4 linked regions of the Canis lupus familiaris genome follow. The protein of the gene in region 4 interacts with the protein of the main gene of each other region in a pairwise test. Links are inferred from orthologs where the notes say so. Each region holds a gene or a part of one and is shown on either strand. Other genes may lie near its edges.

Region 1 (5,352 bases), on a different chromosome or scaffold from region 4:
ATGGCTGCCGGCATCAGCTTGGTCAAATGATGGTAGGGTAGGTCAGTGTCTGTGAGATTCTCTTGGCCTTTTTCTCATTGTAGCAAGGTGGCTGTTGGGGCTCCAGGCATCACATCCTCAATCAAGGCAGGAAGAATGGAGGGGCAGAGAGGTGTTACCCATGTCTGCCTCTTTTATCAGAAAAGCATAAACTTTCCCAGAAGCCCCTGTAAGACTGCCTCTTAAATTGCACTGGCCATACCTGGTCACTTGTCACCCCAAGCTGCAAAGGAAGCTGGAACAGTGGGAATTGGGATTTACAACCTCTACAGTGGGAGGCAACTGGAATGAAGGGGCTGGGACCGACCATGGGGAATGTACATGGGTGGCTGCCATGGTTCCACTAGACCATGTGGGGTTTCATCCCCATGGCTTGCCTTCTCCATGGAGCACCTCTGGGGGCCACTGAGTGAAGTCTCAAGCATTCTCTCTGAGGGGCCTACTCCGTCCTAGATGCTGTCTTGCTTCTCTTCATATGTCTGAACACCACACAGACTGCTGGGGAGACTTCTTTGGGGAAATGGTGGTCTTTATTTGGGGATTGTGCTTTAGCATTGCTCTCACCTGGCAGACATCTAAAATAGCATCACCACGTTCTCATTAAGACACGTTCAAGGGCCTTTTAGAGCCTCACTTACATTTATACACACACACACACAAGCACACAGCATGTCTATTTACACAATGGCTGGCACCCACGCATGAAAAGAGCAACATCTTTGGTCATCCTCAAACCACTCAGTTAGGAGTGAAGACCAGGATGACCCCTTTCCTCCTGAACGTCCCACTTTTGGTCCAAGAATAAAATAGCATTCCAGTGGCAGCTTTGTCCCCCCGCAGTTTTGAGGGGTGAAAGGAAATGCTTTTCTAGTACTGTCCTATCACCTTAAATGATAGGTTTGCAAAGTCAGAGGTGGGGATTTTATTCTTCATGGGGAGTGGGGAGGGCGGACACAACCAGCCTGGTTTATTCTCTGAATCTTTAACAATGGGATAGAAGCAAAATGTTGCAACACTTGGTCTCCTGTGGGGAGGGATTTTTGAGGAAGAGTAAGTGAATTCACTGGAGCTGGCTCAGGTAGTAGAAACCGAGTAGGGAGTTGGAGCAGGGGATGGAATTGCGGACTCAGAGGAGCCAGTCTGTAAGGGTAGCAGTGGGGTCTTCAGACCAGTGTTCATATTTCCAGAAACCCACTGGAAATCACTCTATATTTGTTCTCCGTAGGCTTTAGGAAAAGGTAAAACAAAACAAAACAAAAATTCCTTTTGGCTAGAGTTACATCAGAACAGTGTGGTAAGAAAATGCAGATTGGCAATGATATACCTCTCCAGTGTCAATGACAATTATGCAACCGATATATAATTTGCTCGGCAACTCTCTTCCAAGGTCTGGGGCCCTGGAAGGGGGTGGATTATGGAGAGCCCCTGGGGCTGCAGAGGCAGGGCACCCCCAGGGCAGAGATTCATGGCAGTTAGTTAGGGGGCAGAGGTGGCTTCAGGGATCATGTTTCCACTATTTACCATGTGTGGCTGCTTACAGTGTGGGCCTCAGACCAGCAGCCCAGGAGCTGGTTAGGAATGCGAACTCTCAGCCCCCACCCCAGATCGACTGAATCAGAAGCTGTACTGTAACAAGATCCCCAGTGATTCGCAGGCACAATAAAGTTTGAGAAGCACTGTTCTAGACTTCTGGGAGCAGGAAGGCTGCAGCCCTGGTTAGATGCCCTTACAAGGCCCAGACAGGGAGGTTTTGGAGAGGAGAGAGCGAAAGCATGGTGTAGGGGAAGCTGTCCTCGGTGGTGGTCTTGCAATCTGGCAGGAGGGAGCCCCAAGGCTGCCCGGTGGGCCGCCCCGCCCTTCCTCACCAGGGCAGCTGCACTTGAACCAGATTGCCCTCAGCTGGCTTTCAAGCTGACCTGCAGCACTTAGCTGCCCCACACCTGGCTGCAGGTAAACCACAGTCAGGGAAGTTTTCTGAGAGCAGGGCCCATGAGGCACGGGCAAAACGGAGGGCTAGTTGGGCCAAAGAGGTGCCTTTCTTTCCTTCCCAATTCTGCCAGAAAAATCTCAGCGGAGCTCAGAAGCCCCTTCAGGGAGAGGTGCCTTGGGAATGTTTTCTGAGCAGCAGCTTCCTTTTGGAGAAGCGGTGAATGCTCAGAAGGAAGAAGCTGGGAGCTTTGGGGCCCCCAGCTTCTTGGTGGGTGGGAAGGGGGGTCCAAGCCTGCTGGGGCATTTCACAAGAGTAAGCATGAACATCACAGATGGCCCGAGACTGGGGACCCAGGGCTGCTGGATACAGAAGGGCTGGAGGAGGGTGTGATGGCCTGGGAGGGGGGCGGTTTCGTGGACCAGAGCTTCCCCCACCTGGCCCTACAGGGCTCTCTCTTCACTGGTTATCGTGGTGATTCTCCGCAGGTTTTCCCTAACTTTGATAAATTCGGGGGCATGGTCCTCTTCCTTTTCTGGTGGATTTTCCAGCTAAAGGAGAGAAGAAGTAGAGGTGTAAAGTGGGTGTGGCTCGGGGGAATTCCTATTCCCCAAACCACTGTGTTTGGACCAAGGATCCTCTCTGGGGAAACAGAACCAGGGATCAGCTTTGCCACCAGCCTTGGTAGCTGGGGTGACCAGGCAGGAGACTAAGTTTTTGCTGTGAAGCCTGGTGCAAATCACTTGCCTCACCTGGGCCTCCGGTTCTTCATCTCTAAAATGGGAACGCTGCCTGGCTCGCAGACACATAGTGAGAATGAGATCAGGATCAGCGTGCAATCGACTGGGCTGATAAGGGAACCCAGGGTCAGGGAGGGAAAGCCACTGGTTCAGTCACACGGAGTGAGTGGCAGAGTGAGGACCTGAGCCCGTGGTGGACTGCTGGTTTAGGCCTCATTTTGCTTCATCTCCTCCCTCTTGCCAGCTGCGACCACAGGCAGGGCTCCTCCCTGGGCCAGGCTCCGCACCCACCTGGTTCAGCCTCTGCTGCCGTCTCAGCAGCTCCTGCTCAAAGGGGCACTGCAGCCTCTTGGCTTCTAGCTCTTCCTTCTTCTTCTTGATGAGCTGGTTCCGCCTGCGGTGCTCCAGGACACGCTGCAGCTCCGGCTTGCTGTCCACGCCCAGGCCCCTGGGTGGAGGGAGCCGTCAGGTGACCCCAACTCTCCCCTTGCCCCGCCCAGTCTCAGGGCTGCACCCTGTAGTGACACCTACCTATACCATCCTGTCAGTACAACCCTCCTGGCAGCCCCGGGAGGTAGTCCCATTCCTGTCCTGTTATCCGGAGATGGGAAATGAGGCTCCTAGGACTTAAGACACCAGTCCAGGTCACAGCTATGAAGGGGCTCAGCGAGCATGAGCACCCAGGCCCGTCTGACTGCAGAGGCCAGGTTCTGTGTTATTTCTGGTTACGTTCCCTGGATAAGTTTCTAAAGGTGGAATTGCTTTGTCAGGCTCTTTTTAAGGGTTTGGATATATATTTCCATCTGCCCCCTAGGAAAGGTTACCTAATTTATACTCTGTCATCAGTGTACAAGAGCATCTACTCCTCCCCACCATCACCATGCAGTCTTTTTATATTTTAGGATCTGGTAGGCAAGAAATAATACCTGGCTTTCATTTCTGTTTCTCTGATTATTAGTTACATGAACAACAGCCTTTGAGATGTGTACCAGACATTTGCATTTCTTTTGTAAACTGACTATACCCGCCTTTGTTCATTTTCTTCCTTATGGATTTATAAGTGATATGTATATATTTTTTGGTCTGTTTTGTATTGTAAATATAAATATAAATATAAATATAAATATAAATATGATTTGTCTTTTAGGCTTTTTTTTTCTATCGTGGGAGTATTTTTTTTACATTAAAAGGGATGACTCTAAAAAACATTCGGAGAAAATACACATGATATATATATACTAAGCAAGGAAAAAAGAACCCACTGTGCATACAAAATGACACCTGCTGGAAGGTCTTGCACAGAGCTGAAAATACGAGAATCCTAGCCTACGCCAACTCCAGAATGTGCCAGTAGAGGGAGCTGCGGAGGCGCCACGGCCTTCGGCCTGGTGCCAGCCAGCTGGGAGGTATTTCCCAGGCCTCCCCCACCTTCCTTCATTTGCTGAATTCCAGCCCTGCCATCTCAAGCCTGCTCTTTCACTGCACCCCTGCTCCACTCATGCCCCCTCTGTGATTCCTGCTTGAGACCCTTCCCTGGCCAGCACATCTCCTCTGGCCAACCTCAAAATCCATGCTGCAAACACCCTGAGCTACTTGTGTTTCCAGCCTATTTGCATATGCTCTTCCCTTTGCTGGGAACATACTTGCTTCCCCCCGCCGATGCCCACCTCCTAGTCTGGCTGACTCTTGCCCATCCTTCAGGTGTTAGCTGTTAGGGATCCTCTCCTCCGTGAAGTCACCTTGGACTACTCCTAGGTGCCTCCTCTGAGGTTCCAGGCCCATTTATGCCCTCATCATACTGCATGGTTATGCATCCATCCCCACTCTCAGGGCTGGAACTGGGTCCTGTTCCTTCTTGTATGCCAGGTCTGGATGCAGTGCCTGGCACATAGTAGGTGCTTAGTAAATGTTTGTGGAGGACAGGCATGAGTGGGTAGCTGGGAAGGAGGGCAGGGCTTTTGGGGGACCACTGGGGACTAGACTTTCACAGTTTCTGTGGGTGACTATGTGGGGTACACTCAGCCCTCTTCAGCCTCCAGGAGACCCAGCATGACCATCAGGCCTGCCTTCCACAAGAGGCACCTCCGCAAGCCGCAGCAGGCCTGAGGAGATGGTTGCCGGGCTGAGGCAACTGAGCTCTGTTCCTACCTTCTGTGGTTCATGAGTAGCTCTCTGTGGAGCTCCTGGTGACTCCGGGAGGCCTTCACAGGGTTCAGCAGCTTCTTGGGCTTGATGAGCTCTGGGTTCCACTCTCTATACTCGGGCCGGGCCATCAGGCTCCCGATGTCCGCTCGCTCTCTCTGGATCTCAGAGTACATCGAGGCTGTAGAGGCAGGAGGCAGGGGAGGGGTTGGTCAGAGCAGGATCTACAGTCTAACCCCTCCTAGGGGAGCCCCACAGCTGAAGGGTTTCTTTCTTTGTTTCTTTGTTTCTTTGTTTCTTTGTTTCTGTCTTTCTCTCTCTCTCTCTCTCTTTCTTTCTTTTTGTTTGAGAGATTTTGTTTGAGAGAGGAGACAGAGACAGAGCATGAGTAGGGGCAGAGGCAGAGGGAGAAGCAGACTCCTCGCTGAGCAAGGAGCCCGATGTGGGGCTCAATCCCATGAGTCAGATCATGACCTGAACCAAAGGCAGACACTTAACCGACTG
Region 2 (5,352 bases), on a different chromosome or scaffold from region 4:
TTTCTGTCTCATGGTATCATGTAAAGGTATTCTATGAAAATGGATACCCTGGTCAAGTAAGGCTAAGATATTGGGTTAAACCAAACTAATCTGCTTCTTTATTCCTGAAGGACCTCTCAGAATTTCTAGTATGCTAATGTACAGGGTGAATCTCCAGTACAGGACAGTACAGAGCTTACTTACTTGACTATGGAATCCTTTTTTTCCCCAGAATATCTAATGACATCAAAGAAGCTAATGTTCAATGGAACAGTTTGGGAAATGATCTAAAGTTTCATCAGTTCCTCTGCTCTCATCATAAATCTGCAGCATTTGACTTAATGTTTATCAAACTGACCCCTTTCTTCATTCCTAGTATCTTCCCCGTCGGTAGCCAATGACTTGGCTTTGAGACCTCAGCACCAGGGAATCTCAAATGTCTTGTAATCCTCTGGGTCTTTCTGATTAAAAAAGCAAGTGGCTTCAAAGTTTATGACATCATACAAGGTATCAATCTCTTTTATGCTCCAAACAAATCATTTCACTCTCAAGTGCCGAAATAAGAGATGCTGCTTTCACTCTTTCACAGAACTAATCTGTGGACACATCCTGACTGTAGCCTGAAGCCTAGCTCAAATACAAAGCGTAATAGTTCAATGTACAGACTTAGCTAAAAGATCAGACTACCTCCATCATCCCCAAGGAAGGCAAGGACCAAAAGGACAGCACAATTAGGCTCTAGGGAACTCAGTACAGAGAGCCACGTGGAATCCTATCAAGAGGCAAATGTGCCCAAGCCCTGGTGTAAAGGAAGAAAAAGGGAGGGATGAGTAAGGTTCAGAGGAGACATGGGCACAGCACAGCTTTCTGAATTCCCTCGAGCTGAATCCTCCCAGGGCAGTCTCAGTAACTGGGTGCAGCAAATATAATTCCACAAACAAAATAAGACTCCGAGCTAAATGTGAATGATTGAAAGATCTACTTTGGTTTATTACTCTTCATTATGATTCAGGATCATTAAGAAGAGTATGTTTATTTAAGTCAGGGCTCATAATACTCTTTTAAACTGAAGATGGATCTGTTGTCTCAAGTTATTTGATACTTCCTCCTAGAGCTCAATTCCAGAGAAAAGCCCTAGGAACACAGTAAGTCATTTTTAGAGATACTGATGTCGAAATAGTAAACAAGTAAAAATCAATCAAGTAAGTCAAGGTCTGTCTCAATTTGTATCACTGAATTTGTAAATTCTTTAACAAAGTTTGTATATGTACAACTCAGAGTGATTTAAATTTATAGTAGAAACCTATAACCAAACTATAAGAAATCCATTGCTACATAACTAAAATTAGGTAATTATATTTATTTATAAAATAACAAAAGATTTAGGAATAGATCTGTTTATTGTACTGTGAAAATGGTCTTGGTACATGTGAGAAACATTATATACTTTGAGGACAGCATTCAGAATTGTTAAGACAAAAGACAAACTATAATTTTAAAGTCAATCTTGATTTAAGGGAAAGGCTATAAATTATAGGCTGGAATGCATTCAGCATGAATTCAGATTCTATAGAACATAAAGCATGAAAGAGTACAAAAGATGTTGGAGTCCAATAAGCCCATACCTAAATTTTACTGTAAAGCTGCAAGGACTTTTTATTTATTCTTATATACTAGTTTTCTTCTGAGACAAGTTGATTTTATCTCCAAGACTTAAGGCCATTCCCTGTAAGGAAAAATGCAAATGTTTATAATTGTTAAAATTACATAAAACCAGTAGGTTATTCTATCTTAACCAAGCCCCCATTCAATGGCACCACATCAATAAAGAAAACAAGGAGGTACAAAACAGACTCACTAAAACTTTACTTTGTTAAATACTTTTAGTGCTAGATTTACAAATAGTCACTAGATCTGAGCTTGGATTTCATTCAAAAAACTTTAGAGAATCATTTCACAGCCTATGGGAATCAATATTGTTTTAAGCGAATAATCCAGAATGACAGGCCCAAAAAGTGGGCCATTTTAATTAAGCAAAAGTTCTATTTCTGTTCAGAGAATATTATTATTATATATATGCATCTAACACATACAACACTAGTATGACAGAGAATGCTACACATAGAAATAATGAAGAATTAAACTTTTTGTTCAGTTCAGAGATGATCTCAAAAACAAACAAACAAACAAAACCCAACCATTACCTGACTCTTTGCACGAATTCTTATGTGGCCAGTAACAGGGGCCTCTGGTCCCTGTTGAATTGGCTTCTCAATGCTGACATTTGCAAGTGCATCTTCTCCAAATATGGAACGAGCATACAGGTTGGCTGCCATAAAGCCACAGTAACCAGAAAGAGCCTAGAAGAAATTTATGATATATTCAGAACTTCTCTAGAGAACCACACATAAGCAAGACCCACCAGCATAGGTAAATTATCCTTTAAAATAAAGACTTACCATATGATGGTGGTTATATGACTACATAACATGTCAAAACTCAGAGAATCGTATGTGTAAAAGGTGTGAATATTACTGTGTCTATATTATACCCCAATAAAAATGACTTTAAAGAAATAGCACTTATTTCAGTTTGTATTTATACATTCCCTGTTTACTTACAGAGTTGTTTGCACCAGACCTTAAGCTCCATAAAGGAGAGACAATTTTTATTTTGTTCATTACTGTATATCCAGTAGCTCAGAGAGTACTGGGCATATGATGTTTGTGTATTTGTTAGACTATCTGTTGAATAAACTAATATATGAATTAAAACCCATTTGGCAGAATTTCACTGATAAAATTAGCATTAGCAGGAATTCTACAAAGAAAAAAATTCTTTAGAGTCTCATCTTCATTTTTCTTTTTTCTAGTCTTTTTTTTTTTTTTCATATATACAGAACTTAGTAGAAAATCCTATATCTGAACAGATATATTCCGACCCATAATCAGAGCCAAGAGAAGAGGTCATGGACATTTTTTAATTCAGTATCAAAACCTATTTTGGAATGAGTCTTTCTTTAGCTGAAAGGAAGACTGAAAAGAAAAACGAATGACTATTCAATTGGTTCCCTGCACTAGGAGCAAGGAGGCTGGTATGTGAAAGAGGTAGGTGTGGGATAACGTCTCATAATAGCGAGTCTAGAATGACACTGCTTTTCTCACACTGAACAGTAACAAAAACCCACTAAAGGGAATACAAGAAAGCCAGGAACCTGCCATACTACTCTCTATCAGATTTAAGAAGTTCTCAATCAAATCTTACCTTCTCTGGAGTGAGGCATTTCATGTTGGTTGACTTTAATATATGCTGTAAGTAGTCATTTAAATCGATTATATTTGTGTTAACCGTCACCTGTATAGAGGGAGAAAAAAGTCAAAGAGATCATAATCCTTATAAGGAGAAAGTTCTGGTTTTCTGATCTTAGAGTTGAGAAAACAGACTTATATGTCATATGGAACCTCCTTCCAAGTATTTGGTGGGGAGGGTGGGCAACAAAAAAGCAAATGACATCTTTTGCAAAATCCAGCAAGCTGCAAGTTGGTATCAGAACTTTCATACATAGATCACTTCATAAAAGATCACCATGCTGCATTTAAATATTTCTAACAAAAATCAAGGACACTGACTTTGCAAAACCTCTTCTGGACACGGATTCAATGGTAAGTTATTATTCACACATACAAGGGATGGTATATTGTCTTTAATGTCTGTATCTATCAGATTAATCATACAAGGACACCTGGGTAGCTCAGCGGTTTAGCCCCTGCCTTTGGCTCAGGGCATGATCCTGGGATCCGGGATCAAATCCCACATCAGGCTTCCCTGCAGGGATCCTGCTTCTCCCTCTGCCTATGTCTCAGCCTCCCTGTCTCTAGGTCTCTCATGAATAAATAAAATCTTAAAAAAAAAATTATACAACTGTTACTCTAATCAGTTTAAAACAACTTACCATACTACTCACATAATTAACTTGCATGGTTAAGGCTAATTTGCAAGAATAGATACCGAGAAGCTGCTTCTCACATCTGAGACTTTTTAGTGGGACTAATTTTATCAGATAATCCCCAACACTAGCCAAAAAAGTAAGATAAGAAGCTGAAGGAAATCTCCCAAGGACTCACTTTGTTTTCCCATTCGAATTCAGCCCACATCTGACGGAATTCAGCATCAGTGCAAGTGGCAGGCTGGATATAGTCCATGATGTCGATGTGAATATCACTGAGGACTACGCAATTTCTGTCACTTGCTGCTCCAGAGACATCATAAACTGCAAAATACACACAAACAAGGTCCTGAGGGGACACCTGAGTGGCCCAGTGGTTGAATGTCTGCCTTTGGCTCAGGGTATGATCCTGGGCTACTGGGATCAAGTCTCTCATCAGGCTCCCCACAGGGAGCCTGTTTCTCCTTCTGCCTATGTCTCTGCCTCTCTCGTCTCTCATGAATAAATAAAATCTTTAAAAAAAAAAAAAAAAAAGGTCCTGAAACATCAGAGGCAAATTTTATTTTATAGTTTTGAGGGCAGCTCGGGTGGCTCAGCAGTTTAGTGCTGCCTTCAGCCCGGGGTGTGATCCTGGGGACCCGGAATCGAGTCCCATGTCAGGCTCCCTGCATGGAGCCTGCTTCTCCCTCTGCCTGTGTCTCTGCCTCTCTCTCGCTCTCTCTGTGTCTCTCATGAATGAATGGATGGATGGATGAATGAATGAACAAACAAATAAATAAAATCTTAAAAAAAAAGTTTTAATATGGGACACCTGGGTGGCTCAGTGGTTGAGCATCTGCCTTTGTCTCAAGGGTGTGATCCTGGGATCCAGGATCGAGTCCCCTATCAGGCTCCTTGAAGGGAGCCTGCTTCTCCCTCTGCCTATATCTATGCATCTCTCACTGTGTCTCTCATGAATAAATAAATACAATCTTAAAAAAAAAGTTTTAATATTTATAGATAATAATTATAAGATTAGCAACTATTTATATAATGCTTATATCCTGGGCTCTTATTTTAAATACTTTAAAAATATTACCTATTTAATACTCCTTCAATCCTATGTTATAGTATTATCATTTTCCATCTTATGGATGAGGAAACAAAACAAAAAGAAGTCAAGTAAGTTGCTTAAGGCCACAGAACTGATTAAGTGGTAGGGGCAGGATTCAAATTCAGTCAGTACATGCATAGCAGTTGCAGTGTGAGGCCCTCCATGGGGATATGTAAGTCATAGTGCTCCCTAGGAGGTACTTAACAAATATGTTTTAATGAATATTGAGGAGCCACAGTACTTAATGATTACAAGATTATTTACTTCTATGACTGCCTCATCCACAGCAGAAAGTTGTCATCTGATTGGAGCCTACCTTTCTTCCTCCTAGCCT
Region 3 (5,352 bases), on a different chromosome or scaffold from region 4:
GACAGTTTAATGCTATGAAAAAAAAAAAAAATCACAACCAATACCAGGTAGGGAAAAGACAAATTATATGTGATCTCTAGTTTGTAAAAATACATTATTTTAAAACCTTTTTAGGGGCGCCTGGGTGGCTCAGCAGTTGAACATCTGCCTTCAGCTCAGGGCATGATCCCAGAGTCCCAAGATCGAGTGCCCCATCGGGCTACTTGCAAGGGCCCTGCTTCTCCCTCTCCCTCTGTCTCTCTCATGAATGAATAAATAAAATCTTAAAAAAGAACTTTTTAAAACCAGGGAAAACACCAGATATTTTCAATGATCCTCTTGGAGTTTATTTTAGGCAATTTTTTTTTAAAGTAAACTCTACCTCTAACGTGGGGCTTGAACTCTCAGCCCTGAGATCAAGAGTCACATGTTCTACTGACCGAGCCAGCTGGGCCAGCTGGGTACCCCTGAGGTGATTTTTAAGCTATAGGTTATAAAATATTTAAGCTGAGGAAAGAGAAGGGAAGTAATGCTTTATTCCATTTATCTAAGAAAAGTTTAAAAAATCCTCCCCAAGCTCCTGCTCTAGAGATTAAGGAGTGCTGAATATTCCATTTTCTAAACAAGAAAGTCTTTCACAGAATACCATGGTCACTTGTTGGAATTCCAGGATGAACCTTTGAATGCTACTGGGGGTACGGTATAGTCTTCCATTCATACTTTTAGGTGAATCCAACCCAGAAGGTCTAAGAAACCCTTTCTCATCTGTTGGGCAGAAGCCAAAATGTGGCCAAGAGTCCTAGCCTCAGCAACACCCCCCATAAACAGCGGTTCATAGCCTCACGTTTACCTTACGCACTTTGCCAGGCCTGTTAGGTGTCAGGCCTTGCCGCTTGTTGGGGGTTCGGGGAATACTGCCATAGAGCATCTCTGTCTCTGTCTGCTTCTTGTTCTTGAGTTGCTGTGTGTCAAAGTCAGAGGCAATAGTGATAAATCTCAGGAAGGGAACAAGTGTGAGATGGGACAAAACAGGGCCAGAAATCTAGTGCCAAGTCCCTATACCCGGGGCTACGTCTTCAGCCACCCCACACCCATGACAGAGACCCTGGGCTGTTCACATCCCACTGTCCCCTCGTCCCACACTGTGCTCGCTCACTCTTTCTTGCTTGGCTCGTTCCTTCTCCAGTCGATGCATCTCCCATTGTTCCATCACATACTCCATGAATTTCTGTCCATTCACCACAAATGCCTTCGAATGCTCCTGTTCCCATGTTTCAATCCGTGCCTTCAACTCCTCTTCCAACTGAGACCACAGACAAGGACATGCTAATTATTTCAACTCTTTGATATAAATATAAAGCCTGAATGAAATGATTCTCCCAAAGGAAGACGCCGCCCCAGAGCACCATGAGCCAAACGAACTTCAGGTTGCTAGACCCACATGAGTAGAGGTCAGAGTGACCAGGAGGCAAAGCCTAGGGATAGTTTATTCATAACACATGAAGGTGGGAAAGGGCAAGAACCCATAGTCTAACTCGGGTTTTGGCACCTAAAGCTGGAGGCAGCACTGGGGAAGATGAGCAGCATGAAATAGGCAGTGTATGTTAAGAGCACCACTATCCAGGTTCCGACCTGATCTACTGCTTATTGACTATGAAAAGGTGAGCAAGTTACTTAAGTTCTCAGGGCCTCCATTTCCTCATCTACAAAAATGGAAATGATACCAATTCCATAAGGATGCTGTGACAACTAAATGAATAAATAAATGGAAAATATTCTGCAATAGTATCTGGTACTTAATTCAATAAATGCTAACAATTATTATTAAAATAGACAACAGGAGGGGTGCCTGGGTGCCTCAGTTAGCTGGTACCTGCCTTCGGCTTGGGTCATGATCTCTGGGTCTTGGGATTGGGCCCTGTGTCAGGCTCCCTGCTCAGTGAGGAGTCTGCTTGTCCCTCTCCCTTCCCCCATCCCCCCGTGCACTCTCTCTCTCTGATAAAATCTTAAAACAACAACAACAACAACAACAACAAAAAAACATAATGAAGCTCACAGCACTTTTTCAAAAGCTTGCCTATGTTATGGGCTGAATTGTACCCTCCTCAAATTCATGTTTAAGCCCCTACCACCCCCAGTACCTCAGAATGTGGCTTTTTTGGACATACATGTAATGAAGTTAAAATGAAGTCATTTGGGGAAAAAAAATAAGATCATTTGGGTGGGTCCTAATCCAACATGACTGGTGACCTTAAGAGAAAATATGGACATAGATACATAGAGAAGAAAGGTCATGTTGGGATGCCTGGGTGGCTCAGCAGTTAAGCATCTGCCTTTGGCTCAGGGCCTAGGCCCAGGGTCCTGGGATTGAGTCTCACATCAGGTTCCCTGCTTCTCCCTCTGCCTATGTCTCTGCCTCTTTGTGTTTCTCATGAATAAATTAAAAAAAAAAAAAAAGCCATATGAAGATACAGGGAGAAGGCAAATCATCCACAAGTCGAAGAGGCCTCAGAAGAAACCAACCATATTGATAGTTGATCTCAGACTTCTAGCCTCCAGGATTGTGAAAAAATAAATTTCTGTTGTTTAAGCAATCCAGGCTGTGGCACTTTGCTATGGCAGCCATAAAAAGCCAATAAACCGTGATATTCAAGGCTTACACCAGGAAGGCTCGGTATATACTTACCACCCTCGCCTAAGCACTGGAAGAGAAGACAGTTCTGGGGCAAGACAATTCAAAGCAAAGGATATACAAAAAGGTATTTTGTAGCCAAGCACCAAAAACTCTCAGCGGCAGTTATTACCTTAGGAAGTGTTTTTTGAAGCTTGGCTCGTTGCTTTTCTTCTTTTAGAAGATTTCCTCCACGGTTTGTAAATCGACTTGGATCTGAAGCCTTTCTCTGTGAAAAATACCTTTTAATTAGAGTAAGCCCTGAGAGAGTCAGACTAGTTACTTCTGCTAAGATTCCCTGTTGTCAAACTAACACATATTAAGGAGACTCTCAGTTTTACGTTCCCATCCATTGTCAGCGATGAGAAACTGTGGTGTTCTAAGAGAAGAGAGTGGGGTGTGAGTACTATAGGCATATGCAAGATCATCCAATGGCATGTAGGAAAAGTACTGTTTCCTTTTTAATCTAAAAGTATGATAGGAAGTGCCTGGGTGGTTCAATCAGTTAACCGTCTGCTTTTAGCTCAGGTCATGATCACAGGGTTCCTGAATCGAGACCCTCGTCAGGCTCCCTGCTAGCAGGGAGTCTGTGGCGGCTGCTGCTTCTCCCTCTCCCTCTCCCCCTGGCTTATGCTCTCTCCTTCTCTCTCAAATAAATAAGTAAAATCCTTAAAAAAAATAAATAATATACGCTTTAACGTGTAATGCACAATGTCATTGGTTCCCTCCCTTGGTTCTAATGTCAAAGATGACTGTCAGTTATAGGGAATGAGACATGTGGAGGGACAAGGGAGAGGTCTACACTCAGGAGGGCTTAGGGTGGCACCCCTACTTGCCCACTCACTCCTAGCATATTGACAATGCAGCTTAAATGTGCCCAGTTAAGAGGCTGATAATCTGGTTTTTATGAAATCAACACTCACAAAATGGGCAAGTAAAAATGTAAAGTGTTAGGCTTCTTTTCCACTTCTTGTTACTGTATCGTGTATACAGTGTATCACAACGGTATTTAAGCCTGTAATTTGTATATATAAATTAGGTTTACACACTCAAAAAGCAGAGCAGATCATCAGAAAACCAGAAACAATCTTGACAATTTGGAGGCAAAGCCTATGAAGAAATTGTTTCCCATCAAGACCGCTTGATTGGTGAATGCCTATAAACACTAACTGAAGGGGATGGCAATTTGTTTCTGATTTTTCCCTAAATACTGGCATGTCAATGAGACCCTTCCTTCTTGCTTTCAACCACAAGTTAAGGAGTAGCTGAGGGCTAGAACATCTGTTCTCAAGCAGCTGTAAGACCTCATACAGCTCTCTCCATTTGAATCCTAGTTTCTAGCCTGTGACTTTGAAGGGATTGACTGATTCTCTAACGGCCTCTTCAAGCTCAGAGTGAGTTTCTTCTCCCCTACAAGTCTCGTCTGGCTTATCCAAGACCCAGCCCCTAGCTCTGAAAAGTTCAGAGGGAAGCTATGAGTACCAAGTCTGTCAGAAAAAATGGAATTCAGACTATAGAAATGTGCCCTAACACTTAGAAAGGCAACTTTCTAAGAAGACCACGAAGTTGGAATGTAAGCATATTACGAACTACCTGCCCCAACATTCACTATCTCCTTCCTTGGTACGGAGAACCTGAATTTATCTGTGGTAGCAGCTCCCCCAGCCTCAGCAGCAGCTGGTGTGCAGGCAGAGGTGCTGGAAGAGCCCTCAGAGGGGCTGGAGGGTCAATACTCAAAGTGCAACAGTAAGAGTTCTAAAGTCACCGTGGACCTGAGGATAATGTTCACCTCTCAGTGGGTGGGGAGCCATGCATGGGCTGGAGAAGCCTGGGGCACCCCTGGCTGTGAAACAGCCATACCTGCCCTGGACTTCCTACATGCAAGGAATGCTACTTTCCTGAAGGCACTGATGGTATTCTGTGTCCCACGTACAAGCTTCACAAATACAGAGGAGTTAGTGGTAATTCAGAGACTTCGTGATAAAGACAGGGTGTGAGAACCCTGGCAGAGAGCAAAGGAGAATGCACCCTGGCTCCGTGCAGGCTAGGCCTTAACAACTGATTATGGACTCCATGGAAACAGAAGCTGGGGTGGTACCTCAAACTCCAAGAAAAGCCTCCAGCTTTCTTCCCACTTCTGGACACCTTCAAAGAGTTCTTTGTGGACCTCATAGTAGTTTTTTAACCGCACAATCTCAGCATCATGGAGCTGGAGCAGATTTTCCGTGTAGTCCTCTGCGAGATACAGACCCAGTAGTTTACAAAAATTCTAGCGTTTAGTAGCCCAATTTACTAGTCCCTCATTTCAACTTCCTTCTTCCTTATAGTAAAAGTGACACATGCAGTAAGTATAGACTGCAGATGATAAAGCCAGCCCTATCACATGATCAACCTGGGGAAGGGGCACTAAGGGCTAAGGTATGGGCTAAGACTCTCAAAGCTTTAGGGCATCTCTGACCTTGTTCTAGGTCTCCTTCATATTCTTTCTTTCCATCCTGCTCACAGAAAATGTCTAAAAATTTAGTAGACAATCTCATCTTTATACTCAGTTCAGGCCAGACCAGAATTCCGTTTAGCTCCTGGGAATGAACTCCATGGGCTCAGATGTGGGCTTTGCTATTTACTTGCTACATCCCTCTGGGTTAAGTTGCTGAACATTTATGTACTTTCATGTCCTCACCTCTTGCCATGAGGATTCACTG
Region 4 (5,352 bases):
AAAAAGTAATCTTTCCTATGCTTATTAGAAATATAAGCAGTGAGAATTTCAAAGTTAGGACATGCTCCCTAAAGATCAAATTAAGTTGCCAAGAGAAAATAACAGTAAAAAAAGAGGAGTTAGATGAAGTCCAAAGAGAAGACATTCAAGTTATTTATATTCCAAGATTACTTTGTAGGTAGCATATACGCAACTCAGAAACTTTTTGTATAAAAAAAAATGTTATAAAATAATGCTTTGAATCTTGATTCCTGAAAGGGTTAAGTAAAGATATCTTAAATCAGAAAAGGCCCCAAACCTCACTAGCTACAACTGGCATTCCAGCAATTCCAAAAGTATATTCAGGGGACGCCTGGGTGGCTCAGTGGCTGAGCATCTGCCTTCGACTCAGGGCATGATCCCCCATCCAGCGATCTAGTCCTGCCTTGGGCTCCATGTAGGGAACCTGCTACGCCCTTTGCCTATGTCTCTGCCTCTCTGTCTCTCATGAATAAATGAATAAAATCTTAAAAGAAAGAAAAAAAAAGTATATTCAGTACTTAAATGTTTGAAACTTGTATCACATTTCCCCATATAAATAATAAGTGGTAAATAACTCAACCAAATCTGTTTGACCTATAAAGTATCTGAAGAGTAGTGTTAAATATCACTCTTGCAATTCTGTAGAGTTCTACTTCAAGACATCAGAAATAGTTCATTCATTGGTAGCAGAAACTCTCCCAAAAGCTGAGGGTCCAAAGAATGACTCAATGACTTTGTAAAAGTCAATACTATTTACAAGTCGATTATGGACTATATCAAACAGGCTTATTTAACTCATTCACAGATTTTCTGTTTCTGCATAAGAAAAGGCAATTTTCTGGTTCCAAATGTGGAACAGGCCAGGGGTTTGGATGCAAATTCCTCAGCTAGTTTGAAGTTGGTGAAACTGACTATAAATATATCTTCTCAAATTTTTAAATCTCGATAATCTCGATTATCGATCGAGATTAATCTCGATTAATTTATTTGTATTGTAAAAATACATATATTACATAAGATAGACTATACAATGGATAATGATCTTTCAGTCGTAGTCTTACCACTTCTTGAACTAAGCTGATCAGTTCCATGAGACGCCGACGAAGTTTAGCCACTTCTTCATTCACTTTAGTAACATGCTGTTCATAAATTTCTGCCAAAGGTTTAAAGGTATGTCCACCATGCTATTTAAATTAAGAATAGTTTTAGAACATTTTTTTTTACCTCAACCACTCATACTTCTTTATTAACACTTCGTGGATACTAAGAAACTAGTAAATATTTTCAAATGAATTTTTTTTTGGCTGTCTACTTTGTTAAAATCCACAAGAGCTTTCTCAAGATCACTTGGCCCATATAGGAAATCCTTAATGATTACAGATAAAGAATTTCAGGAAAACATTTACACTCATCTAGAAATCTGTATTCCTTAGAAAGAACCAAAATCTTTAACCATGGCTCAAACCATCTGACACAACTTTATTTGCCACTCTCTTCTTGGTCAGCACTAACTACCCTTTTTCATGTTTTCAAATTTCTTTTCACTAGGCCTTTGCAAAATTAACTCCTTCTGCTAGGTAGCTCAGTTGTTTGAGTGTCCAACTCTTGATTTCTGCACAGATCATGATCTTGGGGTCACGAGATTGAGCCCCACACTGGGTTCTGTGCTCAGCGTGGGGTCTGCCTGGGATTGTCTCTCCCACTCCCTCTGCCCTTCCCACTTGTGCCCACTCTCTCTAAAATGAATAAAGCCTAAAACAAAAAAAACCACAAAACCTTACTATTAACAGGTAAGTTCTTAGCATTGTCTTGTTTAACAAAAGCACCCAACCATGGTCTCTAAAATAAAAAAGATGTAGATTTTTGTATGTCCACTTAAAATATAGAAAAGAATGTTCCCATTGCTTCTTACTAAATCCACATATTTAATTAAGTACTAAATTGTAAGAATTCAGTTTTTTCTACTCAGAACATTAGTACTCAAATCCTAGCAGAAAACTCTCTAAAATGAGCTCTACTGAACCATGTTGCCTGTCATTCTCTCCCTGAAATATGCTGATACCCAAAAAATGATCAATTCTTTTCTTTTTTTAAGTAGGTTCCAACTCAGTCTGAACTCATGACCTGAGCTAAGATCAGAAATCTGACACTTAACCAACTGAGCCACCCAGGTACCCCAAGAATGATCAATTCTTATTGCTAACAGCTATGTCTAGTTGTCTAGCAACTTCTGCTCCCACTACAACTAACTCTCCCCACCAAAAACCTATTGGGTTTGTTCTCAAGCCTATTTACATGAATTGCACCTAGTACATAGGTATACAATTTAAATATTAATTAAACAGTGAAACTGTGAAACAAAGGCTGTTTACAGGAAAACTGACTTGAGTGTTTTAGACTTGATAAAAGGTACAATGCCTTAAAAACTACTTTTGAATTAAACTGGAAAAAAGAAAAAAAAACCCATAAGATCAAGATGTTTGCGTTCATATTGTTTCACAAATATCTAAAATTGTTTCATTTGAAACTGAATCTGGAAATTGTGGCCAGGACATCAGATCAACTGTCCTTTAATCAGAAATAAGACTTTGATCCTACAATAAAAGATTTACAAATATACATTTTCTATTTTTCCAACTAAAATAATGTATTTATGTAAGCAATGCACATTCCAAATCTATATCTCCCACAAAAGAAGTTTATGGTGTATGTGATACCTTCTGCTACAAATCAGATGCATTTAAATTTCAATCTATAAGCAGAGTAAAATAATATTTTCTATCTAAATCTAACAAGTATTTTGGTGCTTTCCAGTCTCTAGCTAAAAGTAATATGCTAAATTTTTTCTGCTCACCATTCCTCCCCAAAGTGCACACTGATGGCAGATACACTTCTTACAAGTCCAGCAAAATACACTAAGCTTTTCATGGTGATTTTCACATCTATATATTATGAAAAGAAAATATAGCTTAAATTAATTAAAATTATATGATAATTACTGAATAAATTCCTAAGTTTAGAAAACAAGTTAATTTTAAACAGATTATAACTCAGGAAACAATATAAAATGCATTCCATGCTTCTATAAGCTAAAAAAAATCATATGTGAACACAAAATCTTTTAAACTATTGTTTTCATTAATTTATAAAGACTCTATACAATTGTGACAAATGCAGATTAATTTTTTTTATTTTTTAAAATATTTATTCATGACAGATACAGAGAGAGAGAGAGAGAGAGAGAGAGAGGCAGAGACACAGGCAGAGGGAGAAGCAGGTTCCATGCAGGGAGGCCAACGTGGGACTCGATCCCAGGTCTCCAGGATCACACCTCGGGCCAAAGGCGGTGCTAAACCGCTGGGCCACTGGGGCTGCCCAGATTAATTTCTAAATAAAGTGTAAATATAGCATCATTTCCTAGCATCACTGTAAGTTCTATCTTATAAACAAATCACGAGTCCATACCTACATGAACACATATACATATAAAAATATTTGTCCCACATGTGGCCAATGCTAACAATCAAGACACACACATAATATCATACTCTCATGAGAAATGAGCACTTCAATTTTAAAAAATGAATTTCCCCTTAAAATGGATATCCACGTGTAAAACATTAATTTGGACCTGGTTATAAACTGAATTGCATCCTCCCCAAATTCCTATGTTGAAGCCCAATATAAATGTACTTGGAGATAGGGTCTTTAAGGAGGTAAAGAAGGTTAAATGAGGTCCTAAAGGTGGAATCCTAACCGAACAAAACTGGTATCAGTCCGAGAAGAGGAAGATACCAGAAGTTTCACACACAGAGAAGAGGCCCTGTGAAGACACAGCAAGGAGGAACCCCACCATGTCAAAGAAAAAGGCCTCACCAGAAACCAAGTCGTTAATACCTTGACCTTAAACTTCCAAGCCCAATATTATGAGAAAATAAATGTATTATGTAAGCCACCCAGTCTGTGATATTGTTATGGCAGCCCTAGCAGACAAAAACCATTAGCTTTTAACATGCAAAATTTAACTTAAAATAGATAAAAGATCTAAAACTATGTAGCTCTTAGAAGAAAACATAGAGGAAAAGCTTTATGATACTGAATTTCAAAATTACTTCTTACTGACACCAAAAGCACCTGCAAGAGAGACAAAAATAAATAAAATGAACTACATCAAAATTTAAAACTGAGGGTGCCTGGGTGGCACGGTCAGTTAAGCATCCAACTCTTGGTTTCAGCTCAGTTTGTGATCTCATTGTCATGAGATCCAGCACAATGCTGGAGTGTGAAGTCTGTATAAGAGTGAGTCTGTCTGTCTGTCTCATCTGCCTCCCCTCACTTGTGCACTCTCTCTAAAATACAGATCTTTTTTACAAAATTAAAACTTCTGAGGGGATCCCTGGGTGGCTCAGCGGTTTAGCGCCTGCCTTTGGCCCAGGGCATGATCCTGGAGTCCTGGGATCGAGTCCTGCATCAGGCTCCCTGCATGGAGCCTGCTTCCCCTTCTGCCTGTGTCTCTGCCTTTCTGTGTGTCTCTCATGAATAAATAAATAAAATCTTAAAAAAAAATTAAAACTTCTGTACATCAAAGGACACAATAAACAGATTGGAAGGGCAATCTATGGAATAAGACTGTATTTGCAAAAAAAAAAAAAAAGACTATTTGCAAAGCATGTATCGATAAAGAGTTAATATCCAAAATAAAGAACTCTTACAACTCAACAAAAGAAAAAAAAAAACTTGATTAAAATACAGGCAAATTGGGATGCCTGGATGGCTCAGTGGTTGAGCGTGGACTTCAGCTCAGGGCGCGATCCCAGTCTGGGGATAGAGTCTTGCATTGGGCTCCCTGCGAGGAACCTACTTCTCCCTCTATGTCTCTGCTTATCTGTGTCTCTCATGAATAAGTAAATAAAATCTTTTAAAAATATATATGGGCAAATGACTTAACATTTTTCCCCAAAGATGTGCATATAATCAATAAGCATTACAAAGAGATGTTCAACATCCTAATCATCAGATAAATGTAAATCAAAACCACAAGATATTTCCTCATACTCATTAGGATGGCTACCTAGGGCAAAGATGGAGAAATTGGAATCCTGTACACTGTTGGTGGGAATGTAACATGATGCAGTTGCCATGGAAAACAGTATGGAAGTTCTTCAAAATATTAAAAACAGAATTCCATATAATTCAGCAATATCACTGCTGGTTGTATTTCCAAAAAAATGGATGCCTGGCTGGCTTAACCAATAGAGCAGAGCGTACAAGTCTTGATCTTGAGCCCCATGTTGTGGTGTAGAGATCACTTAAAAATCTTAAAAAGAAAAA

The links.
Region 1: the proteins of TRIM37 (region 4) and FAM107A interact in binary tests that used the Homo sapiens proteins (3 or more experiments, as listed by UniProt). The two-hybrid records come from large-scale screens. The link is inferred for Canis lupus familiaris from reciprocal best matches to the Homo sapiens genes TRIM37 and FAM107A.
Region 2: the proteins of TRIM37 (region 4) and COPB1 interact in binary tests that used the Homo sapiens proteins (3 or more experiments, as listed by UniProt). The two-hybrid records come from large-scale screens. The link is inferred for Canis lupus familiaris from reciprocal best matches to the Homo sapiens genes TRIM37 and COPB1.
Region 3: the proteins of TRIM37 (region 4) and PRC1 interact in binary tests that used the Homo sapiens proteins (3 or more experiments, as listed by UniProt). The link is inferred for Canis lupus familiaris from reciprocal best matches to the Homo sapiens genes TRIM37 and PRC1.

What each region holds. Positions count from the first base shown.
Region 1 is NC_049241.1:32,347,000-32,352,351, reverse strand, and holds part of FAM107A (actin-associated protein FAM107A), read right to left. Parts: intron 5,030-5,352; coding exon 4,855-5,029; intron 3,155-4,854; coding exon 2,998-3,154; intron 2,518-2,997; coding exon 2,410-2,517; 3' UTR 1-2,409. UniProt on the Homo sapiens protein: Stress-inducible actin-binding protein that plays a role in synaptic and cognitive functions by modulating actin filamentous (F-actin) dynamics. Mediates polymerization of globular actin to F-actin. Also binds to, stabilizes and bundles F-actin.
Region 2 is NC_049242.1:37,791,062-37,796,413, forward strand, and holds the end of COPB1 (coatomer subunit beta), read right to left. Parts: intron 4,250-5,352; coding exon 4,104-4,249; intron 3,334-4,103; coding exon 3,244-3,333; intron 2,340-3,243; coding exon 2,184-2,339; intron 1,706-2,183; coding exon 1,646-1,705; 3' UTR 1,320-1,645; downstream 1-1,319. UniProt on the Homo sapiens protein: The coatomer is a cytosolic protein complex that binds to dilysine motifs and reversibly associates with Golgi non-clathrin-coated vesicles, which further mediate biosynthetic protein transport from the ER, via the Golgi up to the trans Golgi network.
Region 3 is NC_049224.1:53,756,082-53,761,433, reverse strand, and holds part of PRC1 (protein regulator of cytokinesis 1), read right to left. Parts: intron 4,886-5,352; coding exon 4,749-4,885; intron 2,880-4,748; coding exon 2,784-2,879; intron 1,283-2,783; coding exon 1,136-1,282; intron 941-1,135; coding exon 830-940; intron 1-829. UniProt on the Homo sapiens protein: Key regulator of cytokinesis that cross-links antiparrallel microtubules at an average distance of 35 nM. Essential for controlling the spatiotemporal formation of the midzone and successful cytokinesis.
Region 4 is NC_049230.1:33,633,199-33,638,550, forward strand, and holds part of TRIM37 (E3 ubiquitin-protein ligase TRIM37), read right to left. Parts: intron 2,964-5,352; coding exon 2,876-2,963; intron 1,206-2,875; coding exon 1,083-1,205; intron 1-1,082. UniProt on the Homo sapiens protein: E3 ubiquitin-protein ligase required to prevent centriole reduplication. Probably acts by ubiquitinating positive regulators of centriole reduplication.